Linked DNA regions of Xenopus tropicalis. The protein of the gene in region 5 interacts with the protein of the main gene of each other region in a pairwise test. Links are inferred from orthologs where the notes say so. Each region holds a gene or a part of one and is shown on either strand. Other genes may lie near its edges.

Region 1 (3,500 bases), on a different chromosome or scaffold from region 5:
TCATGCACTGGGAATGGGATCGGGCAGCGACACTCTGTTCCAAGAGTCTGTCGGATCAAATACTCAGAACCCCATAAGTTACAGGATAAGAGGTTCTAGTTACATAATATGGCCGGTATAATCCAATACCGTTATGCCCACTAGCAGCTGGCTGATGCCAGACTGACACCCAGTCTGATGTAAACGGCACAAAAGGAGTTTTGCCCACGATTTTGCAGAAAATGGCATCAGACAAAGTGCAATCTGTCACTGCTCCCTGGGTTACAGAATGGAGACCACCCTAACAGGAGGATCCCCACGCACAAAAACACAGGCCTTATGGCTACATCAGAGTTTCTAAACTAAGCACTTATGGTGGCCATACACAGGCCAATAAAAGCTGATCTAAATCGGCAGCTTGTCAGGCTGTGTATGGGGCCCGCGGACAGATATTTGACAGAAAAATCAGCAAGATGTTAATCTGGCAGTATTAAAAATCGCCGTGGGGCGAGTAGGCTTATTGATGCACACAATGGCCTGCATCTCTTCAATGTGATCGGATAGTTTAGGCAGCCATGTGCAGTACTGGCACAGTTCCGGCTCCTCGCTGGTACCCGCTGCCCATCTCTGCAGGAAATTAGTGGAGGTGCGGTCCAGCAACCCCCTTCTCCATGGGGACAGTGCAGGATTCAATCATCATAACATCATTCATTTTATTATAAAATGTAAACGAAACAAGACCCTATTGTTAAAATACTCATTTAGGGATCAGGGACTTGATAAGAAAGTGGACATCTACTTTAATAAGCATCTAATTCACTTTTTAAAATGGTAAAAATATAAGTCATAGGTTTGTGCTGTACTATTTAGAAACCAATTAATGCCAATAAAGGGTTGCTGAGCTGAGCCTACGCCAATCAGCCTGTTATAATCTGCACTCAGTGCCAGTGTAGCACTTGCCCAATGGCCCCTCTGTGGGAAGAGCAAGGCAGGTGTCTATAAAGGCGGTGCGGGCACAGACTGGGAACCTTGGGAGTAGGAACATGTACTAATGATTTACAAGGAAATAGAGCATTGGGCAATGGGGACAGAAATAGCACAAAGTCCCATAGTGTCCAAGTCACACACTGGGCAAGATGTTCTACTGGGGGCCCTGTAAACACTGGAAAACTTAATGTAATGTGGCTGTGATAACTTGGCAGTATGGCTGCCCTCACGCGACTGGCTCTGGGCTCCCAAATAATCATTTAGCCCTCCCTTAACTGGTCCCACCCTGACACTGGCCCGGGGAGCATCTGTAGGAGCCCTCATTGGTTGTCTATTAAGGGGAAATTTATTACTCACAAGTCAGAATGACATTAACTTTGTTTAGGATTATTTTGCCAAATCTATATGTTTCTCTACTCAGCCTTATCTCACACAGGAGGGCACTGCCATACCGGCCATAACATTTACATTTTTATGGTGCCATATGGATAAGCAGCCCTCACCAGAATTTTTCTATAAAAACAGCCATTTAACTTTATGGCAGGAACACACAGGCACAGGATTAGTTACCCTTGAAGGCACTGGAATTGTAAGTCAATAAGTGAAATCTATCGCTCATCACTACTGATTTGGCTACGAGAGTGGAAGGGATAAGGCACATGGGGTGCTCTGGGCACTGGTACTGGAGGTCAATAGCCCAGTTAAAGCTCTATGGCGGCAACTGCAAACTTAGACTTAGACCCCCCCTGCTAATGGCAAACTGCCCAGGGGGCAGAATCCTTAGGGCAATGGCACACACAGTTTTTCATCCTTGAGTTGCCCACAAGATTCCGAGTTCAACCCACAAGGGAACCAGCAGGGTCCAAGCAATTACAATTCTAGTCAATGGAGGGGCAATTAACCGGGGCTTTGGTGCCCACCCACTAAGCCTGGAATCACACAGGCAGCAAAATTCTGAGAACTGCCCTCTGTGCCTCTAAGGTGCTTAAGGGACAAACATGGCCTCACAAACATGGCCTCTAAATTCCTTCATGGGTTGAAACTAAAATATGAATCTCAACTGTGATATAAAGTAACATAAGCTGAGGGCTGACACAACAAAAACCAATGGACAGAGAGCTGTAGCTAAGTTATCACAGGCAACATGGCAGCTATTGTAGCAATGAAAAAAAGAGGCAGCTTTAAACAATTTATAATGCTTCTGCTATCATCAAATGTACAACGGACTTTTTTTTGGCAGAAACTAGAACCAAAAAACGCTAAAGTTAAAACGATAATAATCATTATATCCCTTGCAAGTTACCCCTCATTATGTAGTTCCCGTTGTTAGGAGAATGTGTTTCCAAAAATACATAGCACTTAGTAAAATGAGCCTGGCCAGGATTTATGATGACAAGTGTACAATATGCAAGTCAGAAGTGAGCAGAAGAACCAATGCTGACGTGTCTGTCATGTAATGAAATCTGAGAGCTACGCCAGAGCAAGTGGCCTCCAGCAGGCCAAGCCAAGAGGGGCTTGTGGGACCCCTCACCTCCTTTTGCAATCTCCGTACCTGGATTCTGGACACCAGACCAAGTCATGTGTGGGGTTTCTAAGCTCTCTTCCTAACGAAGGGAGTCAAATTGCGGCTTGAAATAAAGGGCAATGAGCCTAAACAATATAAGCAAGTGCCATTCCTATCATTTTATGATTACCAAAAAACTAACCACACACCTAAATACCTTGGCGAGGTCACCAAACGAACATTATCTTTGCCCGATTTGTCTGCAGATACTCTGGGCAAAATCAGGCAGATCCAATCATTGCTTATCTCTTGCTCCAGCTTATGATGTAATTCCCCATAACTATGCTATCTGCAATATTGGGGATGTTAAAATAGAAGAGCAGAAACATATAGAATTTCAAGTCAACTCCATGGCAGGACATGGCACTCTGGAAGGGGGGTGGGGGAATAACAGAAGACTGAAATAACCTCCTGTTGGATATTTTAGCTGAGGACCATAGAGGGGTCAAGTTATTAAAGCTACTGGGAGTGTGTGTGTGACCTTGAGAAGAGACTTCTATAGGCTTTATTCACTTACAGTGCTCCTCACCAGCATTGGGATCTTCCTCTGTAACCCGAGTCATGTCACAGTGTAAAGGCAACACTAAAACATTCCTTCTTGGGTTTTATCATCAGAAGCAATGCTTTCACTATGTAGGGGTTAAATTAATTTCTTCATTTACAGTGTAACAAAAAGATAGAACTTCCTTTACGTAGCTATTTCCATTTATATCAATGGGACCCAGTAATACAGACTCTACATCTCTGGCATGGTGTAAACTTCTTGGCAGTAATATGGATTGTAAAACGCTGGAAGGGGAAATGGTCAAATGCCTTTTATTGACATTTCTAAGCAATAATACATGAAAGAACTCATACCTGAATGGGTGCCCTTCATCAGACTTCTGGATGGCCTGTAGAACCCCTCTGTATATCCTAAAGCTGATGGAGACTGACAGCAGGGCCAAGGCAATGTATGCAAGCACGCTCA
Region 2 (4,074 bases), on a different chromosome or scaffold from region 5:
GCACAGAGGGAAACACTCCAGTAACTGGGGGGCACAGAGGGAAACACCCCAGGTAACTGGGGGGGCACAGGAGGGAAACCTCCAGTAACTGGGGGGGGCACAGGGGGAAACACCCAGTAACTGGGAGGGCAGAGAGGGAACACTCCATGTAACTGGGGCACGAGAGGGAAACAACCCCAGTTAACATGGGGGGCAGACGAGGGAAACCACTTCCAGTAACTGGGGGGCAGAGAGGGAAACACCCCCAGTAAACTGAGGGGTGCGCAGGGAAACACCCCCAGTATCTGGGGGCGCAGGGGGAAACACCCCAGTAACTGGGGGGCACAGAGCGGAAACACCCAGTTAACTGGGGGCACAGGGGGAAACAACCCGTAACGGGGGGCACAGGGGGAAACACCCCAGTAATTTGGGGGGGGCACATGGGCTGGGGGGCGTGATTTATACAATAATTAAGGGGGGGGGCCAAGGGTTTCCCATATACCTTATAATTTTAGAATGTTATTCACTGTGCATATGGGAGGTATTTTATGGGGTATTCTAGGGGGGTATTTATGGGCTACTCTCAGAGGGCTTTGGCCAGTGTCGGCTGGTTTGGGTCAAATTAAATTGCCCTGGGGATCAGTGTTTCTGTACCTGGGGCAGTAAGTTGGGGTGCTGATTATTATGGGGGGGGGGGGGATACGGGACAGTAGTAGGAGAGTGCCTGTCAACAGTAAGCTGGGGGGGGGGGGAGACCAGTTTATATTTTGGGGGATCAGAGTTTGCGGCCCCCCGCCTCCCTACCGCCGGGTGTGTATTGGGGGAGGGGGGGTAATAGCCCCAGAAGGGGGGGCAGATGCTGAGCTGGGTTCCATCAGACCCAGCTGGGAGCTACCAGCGTGACGCTCTGTACCCCGGGGCCCTCGTACTGAGTGGGTGCAACTTACCCTGGGGGGCATATTCTCGAGTGAGGGGCGCGGCGGCTCCGGGGAAACTCTGCCTTCACTTTCGGTTTCCGCCTCACAGGGAGGGGCGGGGAGGGGCGGGGAGGGGCGGGCGGGGCGGGCCGGGCGGGGAGGGGAGGGGGCCGGGAGAAGAAGCGAAGTGAAAGGATCGGGGCCCCGGGAAGGACAGGCACGGGAAGCGGGGCTCAGGAACGGACCGGAGTGGGAACCGCAGTGTTGGGGGGCCTCCACTGTTCACTATCGGGGGTTTGTGGTGCGAGGACGAAGTCCAATGGCGGAGGCAGCGGAGAGTTCTGGGGGCCGGGGGTTCCCCTCCTTGGTCTCTCTCCCCCCCCTCCCCTCCCCCCCGGACCCTGCCAAGGTGCGGAGGGGCTTAGAAGAAATACTTCCAGTCCAAGGGGGATCCAGGGGGGGGCGAGTGTAATGTCCGGGACCGGGATTTACCGGGTGTCCTTCCGCAACATGTGGGGTGAGTATCCTGCCCCTACCCCCAAGCAGTGCCCCCAGCCAGTGCCCCCCAGCCAGTACCACGGCCAGTGCCCCCAGCCAAGTGCCCCCAGCCAGTGCCCCCAGCCAGGCCCCCAGCCAGTACCCCCAGGCCAGTGCCCCACAGCCAGTGCCGCCCAAGCCAGTACCCCCAGCCAGTGCCCCCAGCCAAGTGCCCCCCAGCCAGTACCCACGGCCAGTTGCCCCCAGCCAGTTCCCCCAGGCCAGTGCCCCCAGCCAGTGCCCCCCCCAAGCCAGTACCCACGGCCAGTGCCCCAGCCAGTGCCCCCCAGCCATACCCACGGCCAGTACCCCCAGCCAGTGCCCCCCAGCCAGTAACCCACGGCCAGTACCCCCAGCCAGTTGCCCCCCAGCCAGTACCCACGGCCAGTACCCCCAGCCAGTGCCCCCCAGCCAAGTACCCACGGCCAGTACCCCCAGCCAGTGCCCCCCAGCCAGTACCCACGGCAGTACCCCCAGCCAGTGCCCCCGGCCAGTACCCACGGCCCAGTACCCCCGGCCAGTGCCCCGGCCAGTACCCACGGCCAGTACCCACCAGGCCAGTGCCCCCAGCCAAGTGCCCCCAGCCAGTACCCACGGCCATACGCCCCAGGCCAGTGGCCCCCCAGCCAGTTACCCACGGCCAGTACCCCAGCCAGTGCCCCAAGCCAGTACCCACGGCCAGTACCCCAGCCAGTGCCCCCAGCCAGTGCCCCCAGCCAAGTACCACGGGCCAGTACCCCCAGCCAGTGCCCCCCCAGCCAGTACCCACGGCCAGTACCCCAGCCAGTGCCCCCAGCCGTGCCCCCAGCCAGTGCCCCCCCAGCCAGACCCCCGGGCCAGTACCCCCAGCCAGTACCCCCAGCCAGTGCCCCCAAGCCAAGTACCCCCAAGCCACGTACCCCCAGCCAGTGCCCCCAGCCAAGTACCCCAGCCAGTACCCCCAGCCAGTGCCCCCCAAAGCCAGATGCCCCCAGCCAGGCCCCCAGCAGTCCCCCAGCCATAGTGCCCCCCAGCCAGTACCCCCAGGCCGTGCCCCCCAGCCAGTACCCCCAAGCCAGGCCCCCAGCCAGTACCCCCAGCAGTGCCCCCCAGCCAGCTACCCCCAGCCAGTACCCCCAAGCCAGTGCCCCCAGCCAGTACCCCCAGGCCAGTGCCCCCAGCCAGTGCCCCCCAGCCAGTGCCCCCAGCCAGTACCCCCAGCCAGGCCCCCACAGCCAGTTGCCCCCCAGCCAGTACCCCCCAGCCAGTGCCCCCCAAGCAGTGCCCCCCAGCCAGTACCCCCAGCCAGTGCCCCCAGCCATTTGCCCACGGGCCAGTGCCCCCGCCCGTACCCCCGGACCACTTGCCCCCGGCAGTACCCCCGGCCAGTGCCCCCTAGCCAGTACCCACGGCCAGTGCCCCCAGCCAAGTACCCACGGCCAGTGCCCCCGCCAGTACCCACGGCCAGTGCCCCCAGCCAGTACCCACGGCCAGTGCCCCCAGCCAGAACCCACAGTCAGTACCCCCAGCTCAGCACCAATGGGAACCTTTGTTACAATGTCCTGCTGAGCAGCTGACACAACTATGGGACCTGTTATCCAGAATGCTCAGGGCCAGTTAAGGGATTCTTCTGTAATTTGGATTCCCCATACCTTAGTTCTACTAAAAATTATTTTATCATTAAATAAACCCAATAGGGCTGTTCTGCCCCAATAAGGGGGTAATTATATCTTATTGGGATCAAGTACAGGTACTGTTTTATTATTACAGAGAAAAGGGAATCATTTAACATTAAATAAACCCAATAGGACTGTTCTGCCCAATAAGGGGTAAATTATATCTTAGTTTGGATCAAGTACAGGTACTGTTTTATTATTACAGAGAAAAGGGAATTCATTTAACCATGTAAATAAACCCAATAGGGCTGTTCTGCCCCAATAAGGAGGTAATTATATCTTAGTTGGACAAGTACAGGTACTGTTTTAATTATACAGAGAAAAGGGAATCATTAAACATGAAATAAACCCAATAGGGCTGTTCTGCCCCAATAAAGGGGTAATTATATCTTAGTTGGGATCAAGTACAGGTAACTGTTTTATTATACAGAGAAAAGGGAATCATTTAACCATGAAATAAACCCAATAGGGCTGTTCTGCCCCAATAAGGGTAATTATATCTAGTTGGGATCAAGTACAGTTACTGTTTTATTATTACAGAAGAAAGGGAATCATTTAACCATTAAATAAACCCAATAGGGCTGTTCTGCCCCAATAAGGGGTAATTATATCTTAGTTGGGATCAAGTACAGGTACTGTTTTATTATTACAGAGAAAAGGGAATCATTTAACCATTGAAATAAACCCAATAGGGCTGTTCTGCCCAATAAGGGGTAATTATATCTTAGTTGGGATCAAGTACAGGTACTGTTTATTTTTACAGAGAAAAGGGAATCATTTAACCATTAAATAAACCCAATTAGGGCTGTTCTGCCCCAATAAGGGTAATTATATCTTAGTTGGGAATTCAAGTACAGTACTGTTTTTTATTATTACAGAGAAAAGGGAATCATTTTAACCATTAAATAAACCCAATAGGGCTGTTCTGCCCCCAATAAGGGGTAATTATATCTTAGTTGGGATCAAGTACAGGTACTGTTTTATTA
Region 3 (4,061 bases), on a different chromosome or scaffold from region 5:
AAACGACTTTGAGAAAAACACAGCAAGATTACTGCAAGATAAAAATTAGGCACCCCCATTGATTATAATCGCTTACCTTAGACCAGGGGTCCCCAAACTTTTTAATCTGTGAGCCATATTCAAATGTAAAATAAATTTGGAGAGCAACACAAACATGCATTCTTGGGGTGCCTTACAGTTCATCATTCAGTTGATAACAGTAAATGTCATAATTAAAATATCGTAAGTAAGTTATTACAATACAGTCCAGTTCTCACAGGTCACACAAAACAGTCTTTCTTCATTGAAAGCTGTTAAAATTAGCAGTGTAAAAGTTTGTGGTTGGTTCTAATCTAAGAGAATGCAATTAGGAAGAAGAAAAACATTTCCAGTTATGTCTTGTCTGCCACCTAACTGGCCTCAAAGGTTCAGTTCTGCTTTTCATTTGCAGCTACATTTCTGAGTTTACCAGTAATCTTTTCATCTGAGCATTCATTTTTCTTTTCAGATTTTTCTGAGTTTGTATTTTCAACAAGGAATGCAAAGCTAGGGTGGCAGAAGGGCTCATATACTATATGTTGACACTTCTTTCTGGCTGTTTAAAGTAGATAGTTAATTTAGCAATATAGAGTCAAATAAATATAAGTTGTAGTAAAAATGCATTCTGCCTAATCTTTTAATTAAAAAAAGTTTTCAAATTCAAAAAGGCAAATTGTATTTTACACACCCCCTGGAATGAGTATCATTAAAGAGTGATAATGAGAACCTCCATCTTCTAATTTACGATAGATGTACTTGTAGACAGGGAGTTCAGAGAGTTAAATGACAGTGAGAATCTCATTATATACCTTCTTTTTCTCTTGTTGTTGTAAAAGACTGGGATCAAGTATAAAATCAGTTTTCTATAATGTTTAGAAATAAGTTGAAGGACATTCTAGATAATAGGATGTATGAAAAAATTATTTAATGTTTAGGTAAGGACTTTGAAAAATGTGTAACACTAACTTTCTGTTTATTTTTTATTAAAACATATACTTTTTGATTGTCTTCAAAAAAGAGATTTTGTACTCACCGGAAAATCCTTTTCTCATAGGCCCGAACTGTTAGAAGTTAGGGGTTTTGTCTTGAATCACCTCTGGAGGCAGGACAGAGAATTGAAACTTGGTACTCCTGGTCCCTCCCACTGTATATAAGGCTCGTCTCCACCCTCATTCCTCAGTTCTGTTGGTAAGCTCGGTCGGTGGAGACAGTACAGATAGAAGGAAGGCTAAGAGACATAAGGTAGAAAGATAGCGAGAAAGAGGTCCCGGTGCCCATACTAAATCAGCCTGGGTGGGACTTACTGCACTGACAGTTCGGGCCTACTAAAAAAGGATTTTCCGGTGAGTACAAAATCTGCTTTTCTCTAGCAGCCCTCCTGTCAGTGCAGACATTAGGGGATGTCCCAAAGCTGTCCCTCTAGTTGGGTGGGTAAAACTTCAGTTTTATTGGCACTATGCCAAAACAGCCTGTAGGACTTTCCGACCAAACGTGGCCGGCTGTGAGGCATAAACATTTAACTTGTAGAACTTGATGAAGGTGTTTGGTGAAACCCAAGTGGCTGCTCGGCAGATCTGGTCTGCGGTTGCCATGTTCTGCAGTGCCAGTGTAGAGTGGGCTTTCACTGAGTATGGTCTGGGCATGTTTCTGCGATCATAAGCCATATTAATAGTCTCAACTAGCCAACGAGCTATAGTTCTTTTAGATACGGCTTTTCCTCTGTATGCCGTTGCATATGATATCAGGAGACTATCAGACTGTCTGTAGTCAGCCGATCTCTTTAGGTAAATGCGGATAGCCTGGACAACATCCAGCTTATGGAGTAGTTTTTCCTTCTCGTTGGATGGGCTCGGGCAGAAGGAAGGCAGTATGATGTCTTGGTTCATGTGGCGTTCGGTCACCACCTTTGGTAAAAATATTGGTGTGGTTCTAAGGACCGCCTTGTCGTGGTTCCCTGCAGGACAGTGCCGCCATCTCGGATACCCGTTTTGCTGATGTGATCGTTATTAAGAAAGTGACTTTAAATGAGAGCCACTTAAGCTCACACATCGACAGGGGTTCAAAGGGTGATTGTTGGAGTGCGGCTAGGACTAATGGTAAGCTCCATGTTGCAAGGGGTTCCCTTAGCGGGGGGTCGTACTCTGGTTACCCCTCTGATGAACTGTTGGACCATAGGATCTTCGGCCCACTTGAAGTGTGTCAGCGCTGTAATCGCCTAAGCTTGTGTTTTTAGAGTGCGTAAGCCCAATCCCTTTTGGAAGCCGTCCGTTAGAAATTCCACCACCTCAACTGTGGAGATATCTCTCCAAGGCGTGGCCCTTTTCCTGCACCAGGTTAAGAAAGTCCTCCAGACCCTATGGTATACCCTAGTGGTAGATTGCTTGCGGGCTTGTAAGAAGATGTCTATGGCGATCTGTGAAAATCCCTGTTGACGCCACCAATCGGTTTCAAGAGCCACGCAGTTAGGCGAAGCATCCTCAGGTTGGGATGTTTTATTGGCCCTTGAGTTTACAGATCGGGTAGTAGAGGTAATCTCCAAGGTGTGGCAATCGATAATTTGACAACAACTGTATACCATACTCTGTTCGGCCAGTCTGGGGCTATCAGTATTGTGACTGTGTTGGATTGCTTCAGTCTCCTGATTACTCTGGGTAAGATGGCTAGTGGTGGAAACGCGTATACCATGCTGAAGTTCCATGGTACCACCAGCACATCCACCAGCGCTGCTCCTGGGTCCCTTGTTCTGGCGCAATAGAGTGGAAGCTTTGCATTGTGTTTTGATGCCAACATATCTATCTCAGGGGTCCCCCACCTGTGAGTTAGTTATTGGAATACATCCTTGTTGAGGGACCATTCTCCCTGGTCGATGGTTGTTCTGCTCAGGTAGTCCGCTTCCCAATTCAGTACCCCTGGTATGTATACTGCTGAGATGTTCGGTACCATCTGTTCCGCCCAGGTCACTATTCTGGAGGCCTCCTGCATGGCTAGTTTGCTGTGAGTGCCCCCTTGTTTGTTGATATATGCTACTGCAGTTGCATTGTCAGGCTGTACTCGGATTGACCGAGATTGTAGAATTGTTGACCAGTTCTCCAGTTCTAGGGCAATTGCTCGAAGCTCTAACACGTTGATGGGTAAGTGACTCTCCTCCTTGGACCATGTCCCCTGGAGTCTAAGGTTTTTGTGTACTGCCCCCCAGCCCCTGAGGCTGGCGTTTGTGGTCACTACCTCTCAGGTGGTGTTTGCCCAGCTCCTTCCCTGTCGAAGATTGTCATCTCTCACCCACCAGAGAAGGCTGTCCTTGGTCGTCTGCGAGATAGGTATCTCCTGCTGTAGATCTTGGTGGTTCCTGTTCCAATGCTGCAGGAAATTTCACTGTAGAGGTCTGAGGTGAAATCTGGTGAAGGGTATGGCCTCCAGGGTTGATACCATGAGGCCCAGAAGGCGTAGGCAGTCCTCTGCCAAGTTCCTTTTCCTGACCCAGAAGGCCTGAGTTGTCGTGACTAATGTGTTCGATCTTGTCTTGGGGTAGGATTATTACCCTCTGTGCCCTGGAGTCGAAAATGAGGCCCAGGAATAGGATCGTCTGACTTGGCGTGAGGGAAGTTTTTCGGTGATTGATCAGCCAGCCGTGTTGTGTTAGAACCTGGAGACACAAGTTTGTGTCCTCAGTCGCTTGTTGATAAGGAAGGTGTTCCTTCCTTCTTTGCTCTCCCGTGTGCTGGGGGGGGAGGGGTGACACTTCAGGGACAGCTCTGCGTGTCCAGTGTCCCCAACACTGCACAGTAATCCGCACTTTGTGGGCAGCTCTGCGTACCCTAGTGCTTTAGAGATCCTCCTGTGGATCTTCTGAGTCCCCCTTGTAGTAAGCTGGTCTAGTCCTGGAATTGAATCCAGTAAGACAGCCGTGCCTTGTGATATCCTCTTTTTGATCGACAATAATAAAAAATAAAGAAAAAAGGAAGGAAAAGAAAAGAAAATAAAAATATGTGAATATAGAATCAGTCCTTCACCTCCGAGGCAGGACAAAGAACTGAGGAATGAGG
Region 4 (4,055 bases), on a different chromosome or scaffold from region 5:
TCCTATCCCTTATTACCCCTTCCAGAAGCTTTCCTACTACTGATGTCAGCAGCAGTGCCCCCATAAGTCAGTGTGCCCCATGGCCCCCCCTAATACATTGGTGCCCAGCAGCATTTTACTTCTGCTCTTCGGCGGCTTCTCCGGTGGCTTCAGCAGCATCTTCGTATCCCTCAGGCGCGACGCCTCTGCACTTCTGCCTACACGCGACCGCACACAGGCCCTTTTATAAGGTTGCGCCCCGTGCGTACTGACGTCACCCGTACACGTGGGGCGCAACCAATGACAGGGCCCGGATTTTATTAAAGGGGGCCCGAGCTACTAAGAAAAACTGTAGCATCGCCGGGCCCCCTTTGAAAGTAAAAATTGCGGCCCTGCCTACGGCACACCAGTCAATTAGTGTGCCGCGGAACAGCGGTTGAAAAACGCTGTGTTATAGAATGGCCTATTATTAGCAACTCTTCAGTTGGTCTTCATTTTTTATTTTTGAATTATTTGCCTTTCTCTTCTGACTCTTTCCAGCTTTCAGACGGGGGTCACTGACGCCGGCACCTAAATACCTATTGCTATTACTTTTAATTACATATCTTTCTATTTAGGCCCTCCTCTGTTCATATTCCTGTCTGTCTTTTAAATCACTCCCTGGTTACTAGGTTAAATTGGGCCCTAGCAACAAGATAGCTCTAGAAATTCCACAATGGAGAGCAGTTAAACAAAAAGTGAAATAATTAAAAAATGTTTAAAAATATAAAATGAAGACCAATTGCAATTTGTCTTTAAATATCATTCTCTACATGATACTAAAAGTTTCCAGATTGTGGAGGCACTCCCCGGGTCTCCCATTCCCCAGCAGCATTCTCCCGATTTTAACAAAACCTCCCAAAGTTCTGGAGTTGAATTCCGGCCGTACATGTGCAGTAAGCATTTGGTGACATTATTTGATCAATTTTTTAGCTTCAGCAATGATTTTACATCGCTTCGGGTCCCACACCTGACAGTACAGGAGTTTTATTGTAAATGGCAATAACAGTGAGGAATATTAGTAAATAAGTATATTTCATTGACTATAATTCTAACATTGCACTTGTAGTAACATAGTCATTAACTAGATTAGTAATAATGTGTAAGTCAGACAGTAGGCCAATGGGCACAGCCAATCACTGAACAGGGAACCCAGCTCCTCTCTCATAGGCATTTTGTCACTTTGCGCCTCTCTGTGGTTTCAATAAAGTATTTGGTTAAAAAAAAAAGTTTCCCTTTGCTTTGCTGTGGAACGGGCGCCCTCTAGTGGCAGCTGCTGAGCATTACAAGATTTTTGCTGTAAACGTGCGTCCTGTGGCCTTGACAAAACTTGACAGAACGGGGGAGGGAAGAGCCGTGACGGGTCCCGGTGCGCAGGTAACGGGGAGTCAGTGTGGAGTTGGGAAAGGGCCGGGGCGCTGCCAGTCCGGGTTGTGCTGCATTCGCTGCCTTATAACAAAGTTGGCACAGGGGGGATGAAGGGCGGGGCAGTGTGTGTCATGCACCTGGGAAAGCCCTGCCGGTACCGGGCACTAATGGGTCACATGACTCGGGACATGGGGTGCTAGCGGGGTTACCGGTAGGTATGGGGCAGGTACCTATGGTATGTGGGGGCTCTGTGTATGGGAATGGCAGGGATGTAGGGGTGCATGTGTCCTGATCCCTACAGCCCTTCATTCTATCCGGCCTGCAGCCCAGCAGCTGTTGTACTTCAACTCCCAGCATCCCCTGAGAGCCTTCAGTAGTCCCATCTCTAGCAATTGAGCAGGAGTTGTTTGCTAGTTAGTAAGTGCCTTTCCTGCAGTGAGGCGGGTATGTGTGTGTATAGGGGGTGGGAATGGCACAAGTACTGACAGTAACAGTTGTTGGTTGGATTGTACTGTGTGTATTGTAAGGTGGGGGCTTTAGGCCTGTGTCTCCCCCAGGCCCATGTTTGTTGCCATTTATTGGAATCCCCCCGGGGGCAGAGGGGAGACGCAGGGACTGAGGGACTGGGAGGAGGGAAAGGGAAAAGTTTATTTCTGAACCTGATATCCATGGCAATAAGGCAGCCCCCCATTAATCAGTTTGCTGTTTTGCCCTGCTTGTACAGTCAGGCCCCCCCCCCCCCATTTTATGAATGTTTTTCCCATAATGAAGAGCTTTCTGGATAAGGAATCCCATACCTGTGTGTGAGATAGAGGCTAGTAACCCTGCTAAGAAAGTAGCATGTTTATTTAGAGAACTTAAAGTTACAAACTATTCTGGTTTCTGCATTCTCTTTCATATAAAAACCAATTCACAAACTCTTCGCATACGATAAGCACCATGTTTATTGCACCTATTGGTTGTGGGGGAGCGGCCCAGATGACTAAGTCCCTTATGCAGTGAGGGTTAAACCCAGCAATAAACGGAAGAGCCGACCACTAGAAGTCACTTTGACATCTCTAACACTCCTGGTGCCATAGTGCCCAAAGGCAGGGCATGTTGGGTTTCTTCTACAGAAGCAAAGCAAGTACTTGTATGTTTCACTAATACAGCGCTGACTGCGTTAGTCAGCAATTTATTAGTAAGGGGTGGATGGGGAGAGCTCTTTTGCTCCCTACCTGCCCATTGAGAAGTGCAAGGTACAGAGCGTAAGGAGGCACCGCTCCAATTGGGCCTCACCTGTACGTCTGCCCTAAGGAAGCCGGTAAGGACATGGCTGCACTACTCCTCCTGTTGCTGCTTTCTTCTCTGAGCACCAGATTTTCCATCGAGCGTCCAGGGCAGAGAGCAGCAACCCCAGGGGCAAAAGTGCTCTGTAAGTGAGCCCTAAGGGGTGCGCTTGGTTTGTAAATGACTCCCTTTGCCTTTAGGAAACACTATGTATTTTCATCCCTGTAGTTCTTTTAGGAAGAACCAGTTTGATCAAAATGCCTGTGGGACCTGTATCGAGTCACTGGCCTTTTCATTACTGCTAAACTTCTAATCTGCCATAGCCCTAAAGGAATACTCTGTCCCTCGTCTCTTACTTGCGCACAAACCGTTTGGGGTATATAGGAAGCTGCCAACAGAGACTCTTGACACTACTTGTGCATTAAGGGGCCTGTAACACCAAGAAAATGGGAAAAAAAAGGCTTCATAATCTTCTTCTTATTAAAGTACCTGTACAGTATTTTAAATAATGATTTGAGAGCTCTGTATGTGAAACCTGTTCCACAGCGGCACAATGGCAATATCAGCCAATTAAAGAATTTGGATCCTGAGTGTCACAGTGGCACTTAGTTGGTGACTAATGTAATAGGGCCCCCGTGTCCATATTTCATCCCAGGCCCCTGATTTTGTTGAGTTGGCCCCCGCAGCAGCGACGTGAGCAGCCAGCGTGGCACTGAGTGTAAGGGAGAGAGGTGGCAGTGAGCGGCAGGAGGAGATGGTAGTGAGTATAAGCAGGTGAGTAGAGATGCCCTCGCACACATTTTCTCCAGCTGGATATATTGCATTTCAAGGGTTAAAATGCTGGTTAGTGCATTACATGCAGGAAAGGATTTGGGCCCTGCTGCCCCCTATTGTTGGAATATTTCCTGTATGTTTTGTACAGGCCTGCATTAAATACTCCTGAATCCACTTTTGTTTTTATTCTCCTGTATATATTTTCAGCTGGGTCGAAAGTACATTTTACCTGGGTTCCCAGCATCACAGGGACCCTTTGAGGGGTGGGGCTTAAATAAAGGTACAAAAAAGTCACGATTTTACTATACATCTCACTTGCTTCCCAGTTTCTTAATATCCTATGTGTGCGGTTCCTAAGCACTTCCTCACCATTCCCCCATGTGTAAATTTCCTGCCTCTCCAACTCTTTCCCTCTGCCTCTCCCCTCTATTACACATCACTAACCTCTTTAGTATCTTTACAAATGGTAAATGGTGATGTCACCAGTTATAATCAGAGTTTAGTGATGTCACTTGTTTCTCAAGACTGATCTTTGTGTATCACAAGTAAAAAAACACCTTTCTATAATAATTATTATGTAGTTATAAGTTACCAAATGGTAAATATTATATTATATATATATATTG
Region 5 (3,500 bases):
CACTGCCTTCTGCCTGGGCAAGGGTTTGTGAAGCTCTGATGAACGTGCATGTTCGTCTAGCAGTATTCAAGGGGGAAACATGCTACATATCTATTCAGTCTGCATTCCGTTCATCAGAGTATCATACTGTACATACATGTAACAGAAACGTGAAGTGTAAGACTTGTAAACAGTGAGAGAGTCAGAGGCCCACTAGAGGGAATGCTTCTTATTTGTCCTTATATGCAGTATAGTCAATTTTAGGAAGAGTACATGGAACAAAGCCACACAGACAGAGGTGAAGATGCAAACTCCTTGCATTTCCAGGTTTAGAATCAAATTAGGGCCCCCAGAGTTGCAAGAAAAAGTGCAGAAGTGCTACCCTCTAAGCCACCATGCTGCCACATAGTTTGGCATTGACATTGATACTGTCTTTGTTAGTAATGTGCCAGTATAACTGGAAACCTCTGCGATGGGAATAATAATCACTCATCTATATTCATTTTAAAATAATTATTAAAACAGTGTCTTTCTGTCCAGTTTAGGGGTTTCCGATGACAGGTTAATATATTGAGCAAGCACAGAGAAGTATGTGTCATTAGGCACACCTTTGCAAGACTGATAAGAAGAGAGGCTTCTTGATTACAGTGCAGACACAGACCTCTTTGTGTGTGTGAGTGTGTGTGTGTGGTAGTGTACTTTCTGCATTTTGAGCCTGACTCATCACATGCCTGCTTCTTCCCTACAGATCTGTCTCCCTGCTCACACTGCACAATGGGAGCCATCAAAATCTCTCCGGATTATAACTGGTTTCGCAGCACAGTTCCTCTAAAAAGGGTAAGTAGGATTCAGATGACACTAGAGACCAGGCTGGATTATACCGCTTTGCTGGAATTTGTCCTTTACATTCTATGGCGCAATGTATTGACTTTCCTCAGATAAGTAGGATAAAGGATGTGTTCAGCAGTATATTGCCAGGATTGGAGTGAGGGAGCTCAGGGGCAATGCAGGAAAACTATGGAACAAAATCTTTGCAAATCATATATATATTTTTTACTTTTTCTTTAGTTAAACCACAAATCCCAGCTTTCTCCAAAAGGTAGAATCCACAGGTTAGACATCACTGAAAGATCAGTAGTTTGGGGTTTTCTACTGTGTTTTCTTTGGCACAAGCCCATTCTGAGACTGGAAGCCAAAACCACATTTCCACTCTTCCCCTGCACTAAAACTGGCCCTGTATTAGAGTCCTGCATAGGGTCGGGTACCTGTGAAATACCCACAGAGAGGTTGGGTTTTGGGCAGAAAGTCATGGGTAACTCTGCTGGGTACCTGGCTAAGCTGCGGGAGTCGTAACTCCCCATGCAATATGGCAAGTTTTTTTTTCCCCCTTACCCTTCTGCGCTGGCTCCGATATACAGTGATGTCACGTCCGGGTTTGTGGGTCCCTGGTTGAAAGGTAACTTACCTATTTTCAGGTGGTGTTAGGTAGTGGGTCTGGGCAGGGCCGGGCCAAACGCGATGTGCGCCCAAGACACATCCCCCACCCTGGATCGCAGCCCACAGTGATATCCATTCTACAAGGGGTTTTTTGGCGTTGCTGCCTGTTCTTTAGTTGTAATTACCTTAGCAATCAGGCATTAGTCAAAATATAAAAGCACGTGTTTTCCTACAGTGAGGGTTACTGTCCTCTAGTTTTGTTCTTCTATCTCTGTGTTCTATACTTAGACCACAGAGTGGAAAAAGAAAGAGTCTGGAATTACTCTTTGGCTGCCAGACACAAAGAGATATAAACAGATGGTGGGATAATTGTGGACAGTAGCTGATATGTTTTAGAATTCAGTCAAATCTGTAAATAAGTTGCTCATTTATGAGCTTTGTCTTGTTCTGTAGATCATTGTGGATGATGACGACAGCAAGGTGTGGTCTCTCTATGATGCTGGCCCCCGCAGTGTGCGCTGTCCCATTATATGTCTGCCTCCAGTTAGCGGCACTGCGGACGTCTTCTTCCATCAGATCCTGGCACTGACAGGGTGGGGCTACAGAGTTATCGCTGTGAGTACGAAATCGGAGACTTAAAATACATCTCTACAAAAACTTTTTAAATATATAGTTATGCTTCCTTGTTACTGAAGTGTCAGAAGTAGTGTGATCTGCAGTCAAATGAGTTTCTTAAAACCATGAGGTTTAACTCTCCCTTAGGGTTATAGTTAATAGGCTTAGCAATCCTGTAAGCTTTAGAGCTTGGAGACTTAACTTTCCACCACAGATGCTGTTACAAGATGAATATTCTGTTGGATGAGGATGGTTTTGGGAACTTGCCTTGTGCCATAAAACATATATCTGGTTATGGCAAATTGAAGCTGGAGTACCTGTCTGGCTGTACCACTTACCCATGGCCTACCTCCACTGCACTGGTAATATTCTAATAAATTAGACTGCAGGAGAGAAATAATTCATTTCATGAAAATGGCAACAGCCTAAAACCCAATGTAAAACATAAGCCGAGCCAGAGTCAGTGTAATATATGTTTGTTCTTTGTCCAGGTTAATTCTAGAATTCAGAATATTAGTGCTAGAAGGGATAGCAGAGGGCCAGCTCTCCAATAAGACCCATCCTATAATGTTCTATCCACAGGCTGACTTGAACTGCCACATTGTGCTTTTTATTGTTGTTTACCCTGTTACAATCACATCATACTTCTTTCTCTGTCCTTGGAAGCTGGAGAATCTCAGTATTGTTTGAATTGTATGAAAGTAATTGCAGTTATGTAACTAGTGTTGCTCTTTTCAGCTCCAGTACCCTGTTTATTGGGACCATTTAGAGTTTTGCGATGGATTCAGGAAACTACTGGATGATTTGCACTTGGATAAGGTAAGATATTCTGGATAACATTTAGTAGGCATTTATTATAACCGGTGACCTATTATACTCTCTAAACTTTTACGTTGTACTTTGTTAATGTACACATGCATTACATATTCAATTATTATATAATGTAATTAGTATTTTAACAAAGTTCTTTGTTCTGATTTTGTCTTGTAGTCAGTTTGATGCATTAATGTGAGGAAGACCCTTGCCATTAAACAGTATGATGGCATCAGGCAATTCTGTGCCTTTAAATATATATTAGAATATGTCCCACTAATGCCAGGCAAGTGCATGCTCATATCTGCTCACTTGTTTTATCTGTTGCTTGCAGGTTCATCTATTTGGAGCATCTCTTGGGGGATTCCTAGCGCAGAAGTTTGCCGAGTACACTCACAAATCTCCCCGAGTCCAGTCCCTTATACTCTGTAATTCATTCAGCGATACCTCCATTTTTAACCAGACTTGGACAGCAAATAGGTAGTGCATTTATCACTTTACTGCTTTGTGTTTCAATTCTGCATAAAACAGTAACCCTTACACAACCAAAGGCATCATCCTATCCCTGCATAAGAATATTTTTAGTGTCAGTAGCTGCCAGAAGGAAACCTATACAATTATAAAATGGAGGTTGACTTTTTTTGTATAACTTGTAG
Region 6 (3,959 bases), on a different chromosome or scaffold from region 5:
GTTCACAGTTTAAGGCTGATGCCAGACGTGGTGTTTTTACGCTGCGTATTTTCTCCGCCTAAAAACGCCGCACAAGCCACACAGCCCCTGACTATGGCATTTTTCAGCCTAGTACTGGTGACGTAGCAAATCCTGGTTCCCATGGAGCTAATAGTGCAAAATAGTAAAAAACGCTGCGTATTTCCGCTAGGTCTGGAAGCTGCCTTTGTGTATACATAGGAATAAGTTGCTGTGCAAATAACGGCGTATTTCGGCAAACGCATGAGAAGTCGTATTTATGTATTTGCGTATTTACACATAGTGTGTTTTCTATGGATGATGATATTGTGCGTTTTTCAGCCGCTGAGTGAATTAGAATTTACAGTGTAAAAACGCCACATCTGGCATCAGCCTTATACTGCTAGGCAGATTTCAGCTCAACGGTTATTAAAGGCCTATAGTGTCAGAAACTCTGTCTATTATCTTTACACTGCCTGAAGTCATTTAACCCTTGGCTTGCTGACTCCCAGTTGATCTGAATGCAGGTGGCAAAAAGCTGCCTCTGCTAACTTTAGAAGCTTTCATTTTTTAAAACAGATGCCACAAATTTGGCACTGCCTAATGCAAATATATCAAAAGCCTCTAAAAATAAAAAAAATGAATGTAAATTGCAAAAGCGCTTGGGAAACAACGCTACATCAGTTTATTTTGGGGTTTAGTCCCCCTTTAACAGTTACTTTGGAACTATTTTGGAAGGCAGCAGGAAATGATTATATATGAAGTGATGTTAAAAGCAAAAGTATTAATACCCAAATAATCATTTAAATGGTTATTACTTATACCACCACTAACTGACTATGCTTACTGGATTCACACAATCCCGGAAACACGATTTGTTTCAGAGCTTCGGGTTACCCAAATTATGGAAAAAAAAGACCAGAAAAATAATAATAGGTTTACGTTGAAGTCCTGCACATAAAGGCACGTTAACCTCACCTAAATTCACAGAGATACAGCTAAACGCTAACACTCTCACAGCACTTGTTCCCTGAACCGCCTTCACCTGCTCGAAGAGGACACGCCCTTCGATGTGATTGGGTTTTGAACATGTGACACTTCCCCCCCCCCCTGCAGTCCAGCCGGTGCGCCCGCATACGGCTCAGACCCTGTAGATTATCTGTTTGTCCCCAGTACCTGGACCTTGCTCCATAGCCATGCCTTCTATCAAGGAGCGCCTCCAGAACTTTCTGAATGGAGACAACTTCGTATCCCGGTTATTGGGGAAGGCTGAGGAGAAAACTGGGATCAAAAAGTATTATCTTGCTTCGGGTGAGCTAGCTATTATTCGGGGCTATGACAGGAGTTCTGTATCTGCTAACAGGTGGACGTGTAATTAGACGGCATGCTCAGGACAGGGTTAAAAGGGGCTTCCGTCTCAGTGTTCCTGTATTTGTATAGAGAGTTGTTTAAATGACAACTACCCTTCTAGCTTGTGATTTAAACGTGATCATTCAGTGCGACGAAGAAGGAGTAGATAGTTCCACTGTGATTGCGTGTGGCATCGTGTATATGGCTACATTCAATACAAAAAAGTAAGAGGGGTTGCTAATAAGTGGGGCACTAAGCCATTGAATAGAACGTGTGAGGCTGCTGGAGCCAGACAGGGGGATTATGTCGCTGCATTAGCTTTACGTCCCAGACCACGTTCTGCAGGAATCCATGCTGAGAAGCCGAGGTCAAGTTGCAAGATTTCAGTAGCCTCACATGTGGCCCCTATTTATGACTGCTGCACATTGTATTTTATGTTGGTGAAAAATAATACCACATTCCATCTGCTTGGGTACTAGTCGTTCTTGTATAATCGTTATGGTTAATAAGTGATCTGCTTTGGGTGCTGTTACAGCCACATCTACATATCTGGCCTGTCATGTGCCTTATCATTTTCTTATGCTGTCTGTGAATAAGAGTATCCTAATGTGAAGGTCACAGCATGCCACCCATTGGCCACCTTTTAAGACACTGATATAAAGAGCAACATTTCCCTTCCTTACTCTAGGGAGCTCACTAAATATGTAAATGTATATAGATTGTAAGCTCTATGGGGCAGGGACCTCCATCCGCTTGTGTCTTTGACTCTTAACTTATTGCAACTGTAACTGTATCTTGTATATATTTGTATTTATTGTTATACTTTGTATTTATCTATTATCTTAGTAACCCCCTGTTTGTATTAATGTATTCTACTGTACAGCGCTGCGTACATAAGTAGTGTTTTATAAATAAAGATATACATACAAATGTTCATTCTTTTTTTTATTACAATGCTTTTCTTCCTAGGTTCCATCTGCTCCCTAGGGCTGTACCTTATATTTGGCTATGGGGCTTCTCTTGTCTGCAATCTGATTGGCTTTGTGTACCCAGCCTATGTTTCGTAAGTATCCGGATTTATTCCTCAGCAGTGAATGAGATTAGAGTGTCTTCTGGATGGGGGAAGGAAAAGTAGATTAAAGTGTTTGTACCTGTTGGAGAATGTTTCTCCTGTTAAGAGGCAGATTTATCAATGTGTGAGATTAGAGTTTACCACAGAAAAAATGACATACTTTCTATTCATTCCCACGGGATTTTTAAAAGTGTATTTATCAAATGGCAAGCTTTAATTTTCTCCCGTTTATAAAAACACTTGGGAATGAATAGAAAGTGGGTGAATTTTTCTGTGGTGAGCTGTAATCTCACACCTAGGTAAATCTGCTCCTTAGTGTTTTGACACTTTGTTGCTAATACTATACTAATGTAAAATCTACAATTTCTCATTTTGTCTTGTAGGGTTAAAGCTATTGAAAGCCCAGATAAAAAAGATGACACAATATGGCTGACATACTGGGTGGTATATGGCGTGTTCAGTGTAGTGGAATTTTTCTCTGACATATTTCTCTTCTGGTTTCCATTTTACTACCTGGGCAAGGTCAGTAGTTAAGGGACAGGTGAAAGTGCTAAAAATATTCATTTTGAGTTTGTCATTTGCCAAAAGAAAGGTGAGAATGCTTTAAAAAATTTGCTTGAACTTTTCCCCTTCTCTGATTTATAATTTTTACATCTAATCCTGCAATCCTGTAATCCTGTGGGATCACAGATCTGGTATGTTTGAAAGTTTCATCTTGGTGAGTTATAACCTGGAATATATGTCCAGGTAGTTGGTCAGTAAGGGGAAAAAGCAGACACATTGCCGGACCAGTTTTTGACATGTTTGGCTAGCTATAGCTTCTCTTAAGAAAGAGAATGTTTTTAAGTATTGAACAGTCACCTCAAATCACATGCTAGTAATTCATATATTAATCTATAAAGCTTCTGCATTTATTTAGAGCCTATCTCACCTCTGTGTATTGGTGAACTGCTCTGAGAGCCTTTTTTTTTTATTGAAATTCAGTGTTTTATAATGAATACTTCATTATGCTGGCACAGTCCAGTCTTGCTTTTGAGGGGTGTAAATAATTGAAATAATAATAACCTATTATGATAATAGTTGATAATGCCAACAACAGTATGACTTTATCTTGCATTTAGATGCAAGATCTGTATTCAGAAATTTAGAATCCCAGTTAGGTTTTATTGCATCAAATGCTAATTACAAGACTGAAATTTATTTTTACATTGTTTACCATAGATATTGATCAAGTCTGCCTTACTTGCTTCCTTCTAATCAGTGTGTCAATGGGTTTCTCTACAGTGTTGCTTCTTACTTTGGTGTATGGCTCCATTTTCATGGAATGGCTCTCAGATTCTATATGACCGGTTCATCCGCCCATTTTTCCTGAAGCACCATCGAACGGTGGACAGCGTTGTTAGTGACCTTGGAGGACAGGCTCTAAACACAGCTGAATCTGTCACTAGAGGAGGTACACATTCTGGTTGCTATATTTATTTCCCTTTTGACATCCTAGGCACCTTAAATTCACATTCTCTCTTCTTGTATTAATGCTACA
Region 7 (4,129 bases), on a different chromosome or scaffold from region 5:
ATTTACTGCATTGCACAATATGCTGATTTATAAATACATTATTAACAGTAATACAATCTTTGTGATCTAGGGACTGACCCCATTGCCCATACTGAAGGTACTTTCCCCCTTCAAAGATAACTGGAGAACGGAAATAAATGTGGATTATTCCTTCTCTCTGATCCCCTATCACTCATGTTACAGAATAACTGGACGGTGGCCTTTCTACAACATGAAAACATGTTACTGTGAATAATTCACACAGCTAATACAGGATGAGTTGAAGTGCATGTTACACCAAAAACTAAAAATACTTTTATTTTTATGAAATAATTCGGTCAGCACCTGACAAGTAACTACTGGCAGTAAAAATCCTTGTAAAAGGAAGGTTCCCTGGGGTGTGTATACAACCACTTACAACATCAAGACAGTCGCTACAGAAAATATTCATTATGTGTTAATGTGAGGCCTTGTTATGGGTTACTTGGCTTTCCAAGAGCTCGGCCACAGAAAGGAAATTCTAGCTTTTATAACATCCCAACTATGCCTCTTGCAGTAAGCCAAGATGAAAACCCAATTGCTCTAATAATAATTCTATTACAGACACCTCTTTTGGGTCTGTTTATGACAATTTCCAGGAATTTGAAGACGTTCTAAAGGATACTGCCATGATAAATGTATTTATTTTGTGAAGCAGAGCAATAGAAATATGTATTGGTTCCCTGCCTGCTGCACCCCCTTTCCCAACCAGTTGCACCCACACCTACACTTGGCTTCCCAGTATCTTTATAGTTGCGCCCATGTGGGGCCGGGTCCCTAAGCCCATTACAGCTATGGCAGGGCGCTTACATATATGATACAGCAATTGAGCATTTGGTCGCTAAAAATAAAAAACGTCGCCAATATATTAGTGTTTAGCCGCCTTAGACTTAATCTTTTTTGGATTGTGGAGGACGAGCGCTGCTATCGGCGAGCAGTCTCTCAGCCTCTGTGCAATATATTCCCCTCCCTAAACTAAAGACGCGGCATTACAGGAGCCATTACGTTGCGCATCTCCCTGGAGAGCTGATTATCGTGCTCACTAACAGGAAGCCAATGATAATGACACCCATGCTATCGGTTCAACCAAACCGAGCAAGCATCCCTCACGCCTATACCCCCAGCCTCTGCTACTATGAGAACCGCGCCAATCCCAAAACCAAGCGCTCTCCGTCCCTTAGTAATGGTGACGCAACCTGAGGGGCGTGGTCAAGATGCTCCCCTATTGGACCAAGAGCCATCACGGGCAGGAAGGAGGGGACTCGCTCTCCGTTAACTAACAAAACACCCTGCGCTCTGTCCCCTGGCCCCTCAGCCGCCTGACTGACTGACGCGTCTCCCAACACCACAGGGAAACGATGCCCAACATCAAGATTTTCAGCGGCAGCTCCCATCAAGATTTGTCTCAAAAGATCGCAGACCGGCTCGGGCTTGAGTTGGGCCGCGTTGTCACTAAGAAGTTCAGCAACCAGGAGACGTGGTAAGGGCCACTGCCGGAAGGAACAGGGGCAAATAGAAGTAAATATTGCAAGTCCCCCCCCTTATTCTGCCGGCATTGCTACATTCTATCCGTGACTTATCATCGGGCGCCAGAAGTATAGTCGAACGGGGTTCTGGGATTTGTAGTTTCCAAGCAGTTGCAGTTTGTGGCAGTAGGGGAGGCTTGGGACTACACTTCCCGACATGCCCCACCCGGCTCTTCTGTGAAGCGGAGGGCAATATAACCACGTGGGTTAGGTTATGGACAGCCATGTGGGAAGCGACATTAAGTGATAAGCGGCCAATTACAAAATGGGGTAATGGTGATACTTGTTGCGCAGTTAGTGTACAGACTATTCATATTCAAGGACAGGGGGCTGTGAAGCGTATTTTATTTATATTAAATAATTCAAACCCAACTCTGGGATGTGCAGTATGGCTGATTTCGTTCTGTGGCGACTCTGGCTTGTTTGCTTATTTGGAAGCTCCAGAGTTAGGTATATGTTAAACCTGGGTAGGAGATGTGCAAATACCCCCACCCCCTTGTGTGAGGGCAGGAGGCCTTTAAAGGGAAACTGAATGTTTAAAAATAACTTCTGTGTTTAAAGAGGCACATACACAAACATTGGAAGCCGCATTGATCTGCCTGGGAAGTTATTAATACACATGGGTGACACATGGGTTACTGATGGGCATATTCCAGCCTGGGGCTGAAATACATGCGCTGCCTGAGCGTTTCCTCCTTAAGCGCCTGATGCTTATTCTTACAAAACACAGACTTTGGGTGTTCGTATATTTGGGGTACAATCAGTAAAAATTAGTCTTTTCTTAGCAAAAGCTCTAATCGTACAAGAGCGTACGGTGTGGGCAAGTGGGGTGATTTGCAGAGGTATATTTCTTTAGGCACTGTGTTATCAAGCAGTAATTGCCTGCACCAGGAATTGTTGGGGCACTGTAAATACAAAGTTAATAAAGGGGTAATTTGAAGGGCTTTGTAATCTGCCCCCCAGAACTACAAAATGCTCCAAAACACCTTGTGTGCAATTAGCACTTTGTGTCCGGTCTGAGATTCACAATAGGCCCAGTTATTTCAATTATACAGAGGCCCAAACAGCCACCTACAGGCCCAATAGTCACTGTGTATGACATATTACAGCAACCCCTCTGGCATTTGCCAGAATCTAGAGATTGCCAGTCTGGGCCTTCTGCTGTTTATTTAGACTACAGTGTAGCCATGGGGGCAGCTACTCAAGGTGAAGTTGTGCTATAAGGCCTACATTTAGGGCTCTGGCACACGGGGAGATTAGTCGCCGGAAAAGGCTCACAAGGCAACTTCGGCGATTTGCCAAGATTGCGCCGCCGTGTGTGCCATCCCACTGGCGACTTACACGTTCGCCGGTGGGATGGCAGGTGATGGCAACTCGGGGAGATTAGTCGCCCGCGAACAGGGAGATTTGTCGCGGGCAACTAATCTCCCCATGTGCCAGAGCCCTTACATAGGTAATAAGTTGTAATACAGTAGTATTTACACAGGAAGATAAATAGGTCAAACACCATTGTTTTGATGGGACTACATCAGTGATCCCCAACCAGGGGCTCAGGGGCAACATGTTGCTCACCAACCCCTTGGATGTTGCTCTCAGTGCCCCAAACTAGGTAGTTATTTTTGAATTCCTGACTTGGAGGCAAGTTTTGGTTGAATAAAAACAAGATTTACTACCAAATAAATCCCCCTGTAAGCTGATAGTGTCTATAGAGGCCCATAATAGCCAATCTTAGCCCTTATTTGGCACCTCCATGAACTTTTATGATGCTTGTGTTGCTCCCCAAGTCTTTTTACATTTGACTGTATCTCACAATAAGGAAGGTTGGGGATCTCTGCCCTTGGATGTTGCTCCCAGTGGCCTCAAGGCAGGTGCTTATTTTTGAATTTCTTGTAAGGAGGCAAGTTTTGGTTGCATAAAGGCCAGGTGTACCGACAAGCAGAGCCTTCTGTAGGCTGCCTGTTCACATAGGGGCTATTAAGTAGCCAATTATAGCTCTTATTGGCACCCCCTGGAACCTTTTTGTTTTGCTTGTGTTGCTCCCCTTTCTTTAAATGTGGCTCATGGGTATAAAAGGTTGATAATCCCTGGACTACAGGATTAAAATCCTTAATCTTTAACGTTTTGTAAATTCTGGATAAAGAATGATAGTAAACCTTTTAAAGAGTACATATTGTATTTATAAAAGTGCCAGTGCATAATACGCCTCTAAATATGGAAGAAATGTTTTGTTTGTTTTTTGAACAAAGTATTTGTTAGGCAAGCGGATAGTCCCAGAGAAATTTTCTTGCATTCATTTATAAAAGTTTATCATTTTTTTGTATTTTTTATATAAAATAAATTAGGTTTTGGTCATTACAGATATGTACTTCCTAATAGCATAGCATAGCAAGAAGCATTCAGAACATACATAAATGATACACAGCAAATTTGCACATCCATTTCTCTTATTTAGATAAGCGTACCAATTAAACACTTTTGGTCTTGTACGTAGGCCTATTATATTTTGCAGGTTCTATACAGTGTTTGTTAATACTTGGGAGAGAAGGGGTCTAACTGCCAAGAGCAAGGCAGCGGCTCCCACACCG

The links.
Region 1: the proteins of spg21 (region 5) and rtn4 interact in a two-hybrid assay, tested with the Homo sapiens proteins (2 studies listed by BioGRID and IntAct). The two-hybrid records come from large-scale screens. The link is inferred for Xenopus tropicalis from reciprocal best matches to the Homo sapiens genes SPG21 and RTN4.
Region 2: the proteins of spg21 (region 5) and E3 ubiquitin-protein ligase DTX3L interact in binary tests that used the Homo sapiens proteins (3 or more experiments, as listed by UniProt). The two-hybrid records come from large-scale screens. The link is inferred for Xenopus tropicalis from reciprocal best matches to the Homo sapiens genes SPG21 and DTX3L.
Region 3: the proteins of spg21 (region 5) and fam114a1 interact in binary tests that used the Homo sapiens proteins (3 or more experiments, as listed by UniProt). The two-hybrid records come from large-scale screens. The link is inferred for Xenopus tropicalis from reciprocal best matches to the Homo sapiens genes SPG21 and FAM114A1.
Region 4: the proteins of spg21 (region 5) and ctps2 interact in binary tests that used the Homo sapiens proteins (3 or more experiments, as listed by UniProt). The two-hybrid records come from large-scale screens. The link is inferred for Xenopus tropicalis from reciprocal best matches to the Homo sapiens genes SPG21 and CTPS2.
Region 6: the proteins of spg21 (region 5) and reep6 interact in binary tests that used the Homo sapiens proteins (3 or more experiments, as listed by UniProt). The two-hybrid records come from large-scale screens. The link is inferred for Xenopus tropicalis from reciprocal best matches to the Homo sapiens genes SPG21 and REEP6.
Region 7: the proteins of spg21 (region 5) and prps1 interact in binary tests that used the Homo sapiens proteins (3 or more experiments, as listed by UniProt). The two-hybrid records come from large-scale screens. The link is inferred for Xenopus tropicalis from reciprocal best matches to the Homo sapiens genes SPG21 and PRPS1.

Annotation. Positions count from the first base shown.
Region 1 is NC_030681.2:24,246,774-24,250,273, forward strand, and holds part of rtn4 (reticulon-4), read right to left. Parts: coding exon 3,389-3,500; intron 1-3,388. UniProt on the Homo sapiens protein: Required to induce the formation and stabilization of endoplasmic reticulum (ER) tubules. They regulate membrane morphogenesis in the ER by promoting tubular ER production.
Region 2 is NC_030685.2:90,211,651-90,215,724, reverse strand, and holds the start of E3 ubiquitin-protein ligase DTX3L, read left to right. Parts: upstream 1-1,274; 5' UTR 1,275-1,367; coding exon 1,368-1,413; intron 1,414-4,074.
Region 3 is NC_030677.2:35,808,031-35,812,091, forward strand, and holds the start of fam114a1 (protein NOXP20), read left to right. Parts: upstream 1-1,261; 5' UTR 1,262-1,361; intron 1,362-4,061. UniProt on the Homo sapiens protein: May play a role in neuronal cell development.
Region 4 is NC_030678.2:30,311,505-30,315,559, reverse strand, and holds the start of ctps2 (CTP synthase 2), read left to right. Parts: upstream 1-1,255; 5' UTR 1,256-1,395; intron 1,396-1,430; exon of another isoform or gene 1,431-1,597; intron 1,598-3,310; 5' UTR 3,311-3,409; coding exon 3,410-3,429; intron 3,430-4,055. UniProt on the Homo sapiens protein: Catalyzes the ATP-dependent amination of UTP to CTP with either L-glutamine or ammonia as the source of nitrogen. Constitutes the rate-limiting enzyme in the synthesis of cytosine nucleotides.
Region 5 is NC_030679.2:116,213,708-116,217,207, reverse strand, and holds part of spg21 (maspardin), read left to right. Parts: intron 1-727; 5' UTR 728-753; coding exon 754-816; intron 817-1,869; coding exon 1,870-2,031; intron 2,032-2,769; coding exon 2,770-2,850; intron 2,851-3,178; coding exon 3,179-3,324; intron 3,325-3,500. UniProt on the Homo sapiens protein: May play a role as a negative regulatory factor in CD4-dependent T-cell activation.
Region 6 is NC_030677.2:99,404,692-99,408,650, forward strand, and holds the start of reep6 (receptor expression-enhancing protein 6), read left to right. Parts: upstream 1-1,159; 5' UTR 1,160-1,193; coding exon 1,194-1,308; intron 1,309-2,316; coding exon 2,317-2,410; intron 2,411-2,802; coding exon 2,803-2,941; intron 2,942-3,703; coding exon 3,704-3,872; intron 3,873-3,959. UniProt on the Homo sapiens protein: Required for correct function and survival of retinal photoreceptors. Required for retinal development.
Region 7 is NC_030684.2:37,498,142-37,502,270, forward strand, and holds the start of prps1 (ribose-phosphate pyrophosphokinase 1), read left to right. Parts: upstream 1-1,329; 5' UTR 1,330-1,376; coding exon 1,377-1,498; intron 1,499-4,129. UniProt on the Homo sapiens protein: Catalyzes the synthesis of phosphoribosylpyrophosphate (PRPP) that is essential for nucleotide synthesis.